2 linked regions of the Macaca fascicularis genome follow. The protein of the gene in region 2 interacts with the protein of the main gene of each other region in a biochemical or structural test. Links are inferred from orthologs where the notes say so. Each region holds a gene or a part of one and is shown on either strand. Other genes may lie near its edges.

Region 1 (4,205 bases), on a different chromosome or scaffold from region 2:
AATCAATATTCTTGTGCAATGCATATACTGAGCGTGGGAGCCCCCAAAAAATCACTTGCCTTCATGGTCTTTGGCAAATAAATATTTTATTTTTTTTATTTTTGAGACAGGGTCTTGCTCTATCGCCCAGGAGGGATAGGGTGCAGCAGCGAGATCTAGCTCACCGCAACCTCCACCTCCTGGGCTCAAGCCATCCTCTCACTTCAGCCTCGGGAGTAGCTGGGACTACAGGCGCGCCACCAAGCCCGGCTAATTTTTGTACTTTTGGTAGAGACAGAGTCTAACCATGTTGCCCTTGCGCTCGAACTCCTGACCTCAAGTGATCGACCCACTGGACCTCCCCAAGCGCTGAGGTTACAGGCGTGAGCCACCGTGCCCGGCCTCCAAATACTTAGGACTTTAAACTTGGAAACCCTATTCACAACACAAACTCCGAGTGAAGCTCTGTGGAGCTTTCTTACAGGAAGAAATGCAGGAGTTAATCAACAGGTATGTGGGATGTTCCCGCATCAAATCCTAAAGATAAAATTTTAACCCAGTTCCTCTTGCACGTATCTGCTTCTCCCCAACCTTGTCTCGCAGAAGCCACAGCACGGTCTGAAAACACGCCTCGTCTAGATTCAACACCTCATTTAGAAATTCAGTTTCTCGTTGCTAGTTGGATAGCGTTTGGCAAGTAATTTGAAAAAATAAAAATAAACCCACGGACGGAGTGGTCTGGGATTTAAACAACATAACGTAAGGTGAAAAAAGCACTCAGGCGCGGACAGCCATGGAGCGTGACTTCCTCTGCACTCTTTCCCGGCCAGCTCCACGCCAGAGCCGCGCGCTAGGCGGAGGCTGTTGGTAGCGGAGGCCGGAGTCGCACGCCTACGAGACTGCGCGGACCCACCCGAAAGGAAAATGGAGGTAGTGGCGTGAGGCTGCGACAGTGAAGGGTATTTTTCTCTTTTTAACGGGCCGCTAGACCTCCCGTCAAAGGAAGCGCCCGACGGGCCTTCGAAGTCCACGCCCAGACCCCACAGCGCAGCCGCCCGACCGCCTCTCTCCACACCGGCCAGGGTCCAGCCTCTCCCACTCTCCTCTCCCCGCCCCGCCCCGCCCCTCCGCCCAGCCAACCCTAGACCCGGCATGCGCTGCGCCGACCTTTTCCTTCCGAGCCGACCCCCACCTTCGGCGCCTCCCAATGACAAGAGGCGCGGAGCATTGTGGTCCCGCGCGCGAGAGCGAGGCCGAGGACAGAAAAAGAAAGCAAAAGACCAGGGCGAGCCGGTAGAGCAGACCCCGCGCATGCGCACGGGCGGGGGCGGTGGTGAAAAAGGGCGGTGCGTGGTCTACGGCGAGCGGAGTGGGGCGGGGTCGCGCGCCTTGGCTGGGAGTCCGCGAGCCGGGAGGGGCGGGGGGTGAATGAGGGAGCGGGCGGAGGAGGAAGTGTCATGGCGTCGGGCCGTGGAGCTTCTTCTCGCTGGTTCTTTACTCGGGAACAGCTGGAGAACACGCCGAGCCGCCGCTGCGGAGTGGAGGCGGATAAAGAGCTCTCGTGCCGCCAGCAGGCGGCCAACCTCATCCAGGAGATGGGACAGCGTCTCAATGTGTATCCTTTCCTATCCTGCGCCGCTCACGCCCTGTTTCCCTTGCCCGGTCGCCGGGCCTGGTGCTCCGCGAACATGGCGCCGCCGGCCTCGGCCTTCGCTGGACCTCGGCCCCGCGGTCAGGGAAGTAAGGCTCCAGCTCGGGCAGTCGCGAGGGGCTAGCAGAGGAGGGGAGGAGGAGATAGGACCCCAGGAATGCGGGCCAGGAGTCTGCGTTGTGTAATCTGTTTCGGGCAGCGCGTGGTGGTGGCGGCGGGGGATGGGAGTGTGGCTCAGGCGAAAGAGAAATTTTAGGGATTATTGCAGAAAAGGGGCGGCTCCTTGGACTTGTCCCTGTCCCCTAAGGGTTTGAGAGGTAGAAGGGTTAGCGATGCTGAAAGGCCTAAGTGTTTTCCGCAGCCTTTCCCCGCTCTCCTCGCCGGCTTGATGGCGGCTCTCTTCTACCTTGGGAGCGCACTGGAGGTCTTTTATGTTCTTGGCGTGGTTTTGTATGGGTGTGTGCGCGCGCGTTTCAACTGTTTCATTTTGAGTTTAGTCAGTCGTAGCCATTGATAAATAGTTCCAGGGCCCTCAGCGCTGTGAGAGTGAAAAGATCAGCAGTTCTTCCTCCCATTTATTTGGCGTAGAGTCTATTCTCTTCCTGCCGCCCCACCCCCCGCGGGCGTTTATTTCTTTATTTCTAGTTTGGCGTTTGGATTTGAATGGGAGGTATTGGAAAAGAACCTGGGAATTTTCCATCAAAATTGTTTTGGGAATGAGATCTTGCTTTTGTCAGATATTTCCTAAATACTGTGTTCCAGCTCTCAGCTTACAATAAACACTGCGATTGTTTATATGCACAGGTTTTATATGCACCATTCTTTCACCAAATTCAACAAAAATGTAAGTACTAGTTTGTTGCCTGTTTTTACTATGCGCAAATTTGAGGGTAAATCGATACGCAGAAAAAAAGTTGGTCATTGCGTTGTTGGATTTAGTGTTCTGAATTAACGGTAAACGTATATCACGTGATAAATATTTTGCTTCAAATGCGGGCTTTTTGTGTTTTTAAAATTTGTGATGAATTAAACTGCAAGGCACTGTTAAGCTCTGCCAGGCCTTTTAGGCTAAAAAAATAAATTTACTTCTTTAGAGAGTTATTACATAAGTTTTCTTCATTTAAATTTTATACCTAACATTTGAATAATTTCAGTAGTAATGTACAGTGGAATTGGACAAGTCTGGTCGTTCTGTGATACATCTTAATTATGTTGTACTCATTGTTTAAAATACTGTGAATTGAAATTAAATTAATTATGACATTCTTTTGAAAGAGCTGTTTAGCAGAAATAATTCATTTCTTCATTTGCTAACCCAGTAATTTCTTAAGATGTCAAACTTTTCTGTTTATCACGTTAGCATCAATTGTCTCCTAAAATTTTGGGTGATTCAGACGTCAATTCTTGCTTCAGATATAGTACGTCAGGAGTATGTTTATGTATTAGTAGTAAAATTTACACTTGAATATTAAGGTACATAACCTGTAAACCTTGACAAATAGAGTAATAGAATTTTGTTGAAATGTTAATTTCATTTATGAAAGATGAGTTTGGTGTATGTTAAGTAACATGCATACTGTGTTGTGTGTGAATAAAGAAAATTGCATATTTAGAAATGTTTAACCCTGCTTTAATTCTGTTTTTGTTACTTTTTATCATAGTTATTTTTAGAGTATTATTCTGAAAGGTATGTGTAGAAAAATGAACCAAAGAAGACTTTCTGCTGTATGTGGATAGTCATTAGGACTTATTTGCTAAGAGAACAATCCCAGGAAAGATCCTCAGAATATTATTTTTGAAATGGAAGAAAGGCTTCATGGATTAGATTGAGTCCTACCTTAATCTCCTCGGATCCTATTTCGTTTATCAGTTTGGCATATAGGTTTATCTTGGACCATATATATTTTAATATACATTTTGGTCTTTTGAAGACTTCTTGCTTCTATTTCTTTTTTAAATCTGCGTAGTTCTTTCTCTGTTGCTTCTAGTTTTCCTAGTTATTTCTTGTGCATAACTTAGGTCAGTGATAGTGTTATGGAAGAGAAAGGAAGCCATTGGTGATTACATTTAGATTAAGAGAATTTAATTTTTATATAAATTGCCTCCAAAGGCAGTAGTGAACTAATGAGTGTTAATATAAATGTGGTTTTCCTTACGTAATCCTGGATAATAATGGTCGAAATTACAAATCAAAATAGTTCTGACTATTCTTTATATGGCTACAGATGTCTCATTTGCTGTCTGGTTTCTACTTCCAATAAATGATCTAGCCACAAGTCTTCACTTATTTATTTATTTATTTATTTATTTATTTATTTATTTATTTTTGAGACGGAGTCTCACTCTGTCACACATGCTGGAGTACAGTGGTGCTGCCGCAGCTCACCACAACCTCTGCCTCCCTGGTTCAAGCTATTCTCCTGCCTCAGCCTCCCGAGTAGCTGGGACTACAGGTGCATGCCACCATGCCCGGCTAATTTTTGTATTTTTAGTAGAGGGGGGTTTCACCATGTTGGCCAGGCTGGTCTTGAGCTCCTGACCTCAGGTGATCTGCCCCCCTCGGCCTCCAAAAGTG
Region 2 (4,027 bases):
CCGTGTGACCTTGGGCAAATGACCTCACCTCTGAGCCTCAATGTCCTCTTCTGCAAAATGGGTTAGTGATCCTGACTATGGGGCTGTTGATTCAGGATTCGGCGGGAACGCCCAGCACTTCCTGAGCACACAAAGAGTGCTGAGAAAATGGTAGCTGTTTTTTGCGATTATTGACCCGGGGCCTGATCAGCTCTGGCGCGACTCGGCGAAGGCGCGAGTCCTGCGGGTCCCATCCCTGCCTCCTGGAGAGCCAGGCTCCAGCGATAGAAGGCCCGGGCGTTGCTTGCTCGTCGCCTCCAGTGCCGCCGCGCCCCCTGGCGGCCGTCGGTTGCCATGTCAACGGAGGGTGGCGGGGACCGGGGGAGGCGGAGGCGGGGGCCGTTTTCTCCTCCCAGGGCCGGAGGACGCTCCCTCCGCGCCTCCCGCCTTCGCCTCTTGGGGGGGCACTCCGAGCCGGGGAGGAAGGGGCTCTCCGCGGCAGCCGGCATGTGGGGGTAAACTGAGGCACGCGGCTGGGCGCCCGCAGCCAGGTGCCGAGCGCGGGGCCCCACCTCCGAAGGCGGAGGAGGGGCCGCGGGCGGTGACGCGCCGAGGGCGGCCGGCGGACAGCGAGCGGGCGGGCGGGCGGGCGGTGGCGGCGGCGGCAGGTGCGGCCGCGGAGGGTGGGAGGGAGGAGGGCGGGGGCGGGCGGAGGAGGAGGGGAAGGCGAGGCCGGGCACCTCCCCCTTTATAACGCGCCCCCTCCCGGGCTCTCGGGCCGTCTCCTAGTCGGCTCTTCCCGTCTCGCCCCCTCGCCCGGCCGCCCCGGGCCCGGGCCCGGCCAGGGAGCCCCCAGGCCGCGGCTCGGGGGCTGCCCCCCCGCCCGCCGCCCCGCGCAGCCCGGCGGAGGCGGCGCCGTCGGAGGAGGAGGAGCAGGGCACTGCGGCTGGCCCCGGATCGGGCGCCAGAGCGGCAGCAGCTTCGGCAGCAGCGGCGGCCCGGGCCCATGCAGCGGGACGCGCCACCCCGAGCCCCAGCTCCGGCGCCCCGGCTCCCCGCGCCCCCGATCGGGGCCGCCGCCAGTAGTGGCGGCGGCGGAGGCGGGGGCAGCGGCGGCGGCGGAGGCGCCTCTGCAGCTCCGGCTCCCCCTGGCCTCTCGGGAACTACAAGTCCCAGGGGGCCTGGCGGCGGGCGGCGGGCGGAAGAGGCGGGGTCGGCGCCGCGAGGCCGGAAGTGGCCGTGGAGGCGGAAGTGGCGCGGCCGCGGAGGGGCCTGGAGCGCGGCGGCGGCGGGACCCGGAGCGGGAGCGGCAGCAGCAGCGGCTGGGGGCGGCGGCGGCGCGTTGGAGGCGGCCATGGCAAAGCAGTACGACTCGGTGGAGTGCCCCTTTTGTGATGAAGTTTCCAAATACGAGAAGCTCGCCAAGATCGGCCAAGGCACCTTCGGGTAAGGCTGGGCCCCTCGGGGCCGGGAGCCGTGGGCCTGCACCCCTAGGGCGGACGTCGGGATGCCCCGGGCCCCGCCCGAGTTGGTAGAGAAACCGTCTGTCCCCGGGCTTGCCCACTGGTCTTTAGGCCGCGCCGCACCCCGCCCCGGCCTGAAGGAGCCGGCTGGTGGGGAGGAGCCTGAGGCCGGTGGTGGGGGCGGGGAGGGGCTGCAGAGAGGCGCCCGTGAGGGGAACGGGATCTCTCCAAGAGACGCCCAAGTGAGGAGAAGGGACTGAGAGAAGGAAGCAGAAGCTCCGAACGAGACAGGGTGCCGGGTGGCGGGGTAGCCGCGTGCCCTGGGTACTTACCCCAGCCCCGCCCGGGAATCTTTTTGCTGCTGCCCCTCCTCCGGTAGTGGGGGAGGGGCGGGCCCTGCGGAAATCGCCTGATGAGCTCTCGGGTCTCCCTTTCCGCCTGCAGGGAGGTGTTTAAGGCCAGGCACCGCAAGACCGGCCAGAAGGTGGCTCTGAAGAAGGTGCTGATGGAAAACGAGAAGGAGGGGGTGAGTACGGATCGGGCGTGCGGGCCAGCCGTCTAACTGCCCAGGACCCCGGGTCGGTTTTCCACCCTGCTGCTTCTAGGAGTCTCAGGTTGAGATTTAATTTTTTTCGTAGTAGTTCAGAAATTTCCAGGGAATTTGGCCTCCACCCTAAAACTAAATGCTTCATTCTTAGGCAGTTATGGGTGAGACCGGGAGGGGGAGTTGATGCATGCATCGTGTGCACTTTAGTTCACGAAGTTAGGAAGCCTTTAAACACCTTTTTTTAGTGTTAAATTTTGCTTAATGTTAAAGAAAGATACATATGCATGCAAATTTTTGAAAAGTGACTAATACTCAGTTATTTAATGTGTTTAAAAGGAGCGGTCCCTCCACCCCATCTTAGCTCAAGTACAACGTCCCATAAACCTTCCTTTTCCTGATGTGCTTTAGCGAGGACATTTTTGAATCGTCATGTTTGTTGCCAACGAAACAGCCATAGAGCTGAAGTTTGAAGGCTGAAACCGCCGAGCATTTAGTGGCTAATAGCAAAGTATTGCTGTTTCAGTTTGTTGTCTCAAATTATCTCCTTGAAGTGTGCATGCTCCTACTATATCCATTTTACAGGCAGAGCTTCTGAGACAGCTGGTTTCAGAGCCCATGATCTTGCTCTGTCTCCCAACTTGCCTCTCAATATAGACCCCAGGGCTGGGCTCTGTACTGCGCTCACTCTTGACCACTTTCCCCTCTCTCCCACCCAGTTCCCCATTACCGCCTTGCGGGAGATCAAGATCCTTCAACTTCTAAAACATGAGAATGTGGTCAACTTGATTGAGATTTGTCGAACCAAAGGTAAGTTGTTTGGATCTTATGAGGAGATGACACTTGTAGCCTAAGGTTTTGTTCGTAAAGTTGGAACTAGACCCACCTAAACTGCCTCCTCTTAACTCAGATGGACCCATGGTGACTGCTTTCTCTGGTCCTCTTTCATCGTAGCTGGTGCTTCCTCGGGGTCTGCCCTGGCCCAGAAGAGGCACTCAGAAAATATTTGACCAGTGAAGGAAGGAACAGACAGATGCTCTGGAGGGCTTGGGTGCCCATGGGTTGGAGCAGGAAGAAAGAAACTGGTTGTGGGAAAGTGTGTTGGGTGTGGCTTTCTTGACTTTTTCTTCCTTGTATTCCTGCCTCAGCTTCACCCTATAACCGCTGCAAGGGCAGTATATACCTGGTGTTCGACTTCTGCGAGCATGACCTTGCTGGGCTGTTGAGCAATGTTTTGGTCAAGTTCACGCTGTCTGAGATCAAGAGGGTGATGCAGATGCTCCTTAACGGCCTCTACTATATCCACAGGAACAAGGTGGGGGCGAGAGCTGGGAGGAGGACCCAGGCTTGGGCTGGCCTTGGCTCCCACTCCCGGGTGGATATCACTGAAGGAGCCACTCTTGCCCTTCTTGCAGATCCTGCATAGGGACATGAAGGCTGCTAACGTGCTTATCACTCGTGACGGGGTCCTGAAGCTGGCAGACTTTGGGCTGGCCCGGGCCTTCAGCCTGGCTAAGAACAGCCAGCCCAACCGCTACACCAACCGTGTGGTGACACTCTGGTACCGGCCCCCGGAGCTGTTGCTCGGTGAGGACTCCCGAGCGGGCCGAGGGGGGTGAGGGCCAGGCATCTACCTGGCCCCCGCCCCCCCACTGCCAGGGCTTCTTGAGCTGCCGGCCCTGGGGCATTGAGTCTCAGGAGGCCTCCGGGCTCAAGGGGCCCTCCTGGTGCGCTCTTCTTCCCAGGGGAGCGGGACTACGGCCCCCCCATTGACCTGTGGGGTGCTGGGTGCATCATGGCAGAGATGTGGACCCGCAGCCCCATCATGCAGGGCAACACGGAGCAGCACCAACTCGCCCTCATCAGTCAGCTCTGCGGCTCCATCACCCCTGAGGTACGGGGTCCCGGTCCCCCGGCAGAGGAGTGGGGAGTGGAATGGAGGGAGCGCTCCTCTCTGGAAGGGAGGCTGGTTTGGTGACAGGGCCTGCCCTTGAGAGCCACACAGGCTATGCGCCAGTCTTGGTTCCATCAGCCATTCTGT

What was found. The genes of interacting proteins can lie anywhere in the genome.
Region 1: the proteins of CDK9 (region 2) and CCNT2 form a complex in vitro, tested with the Homo sapiens proteins (4 studies listed by BioGRID, with this or other methods). The link is inferred for Macaca fascicularis from reciprocal best matches to the Homo sapiens genes CDK9 and CCNT2.

Annotation. Positions count from the first base shown.
Region 1 is NC_088386.1:20,742,160-20,746,364, forward strand, and holds the start of CCNT2 (cyclin-T2), read left to right. Parts: upstream 1-1,405; 5' UTR 1,406-1,436; coding exon 1,437-1,594; intron 1,595-2,392; coding exon 2,393-2,474; intron 2,475-4,205. UniProt on the Homo sapiens protein: Regulatory subunit of the cyclin-dependent kinase pair (CDK9/cyclin T) complex, also called positive transcription elongation factor B (P-TEFB), which is proposed to facilitate the transition from abortive to production elongation by phosphorylating the CTD (carboxy-terminal domain) of the large subunit of RNA polymerase II (RNAP II).
Region 2 is NC_088389.1:16,211,070-16,215,096, reverse strand, and holds the start of CDK9 (cyclin-dependent kinase 9), read left to right. Parts: upstream 1-1,218; 5' UTR 1,219-1,333; coding exon 1,334-1,425; intron 1,426-1,886; coding exon 1,887-1,968; intron 1,969-2,705; coding exon 2,706-2,796; intron 2,797-3,134; coding exon 3,135-3,301; intron 3,302-3,401; coding exon 3,402-3,573; intron 3,574-3,731; coding exon 3,732-3,880; intron 3,881-4,027. UniProt on the Homo sapiens protein: Protein kinase involved in the regulation of transcription.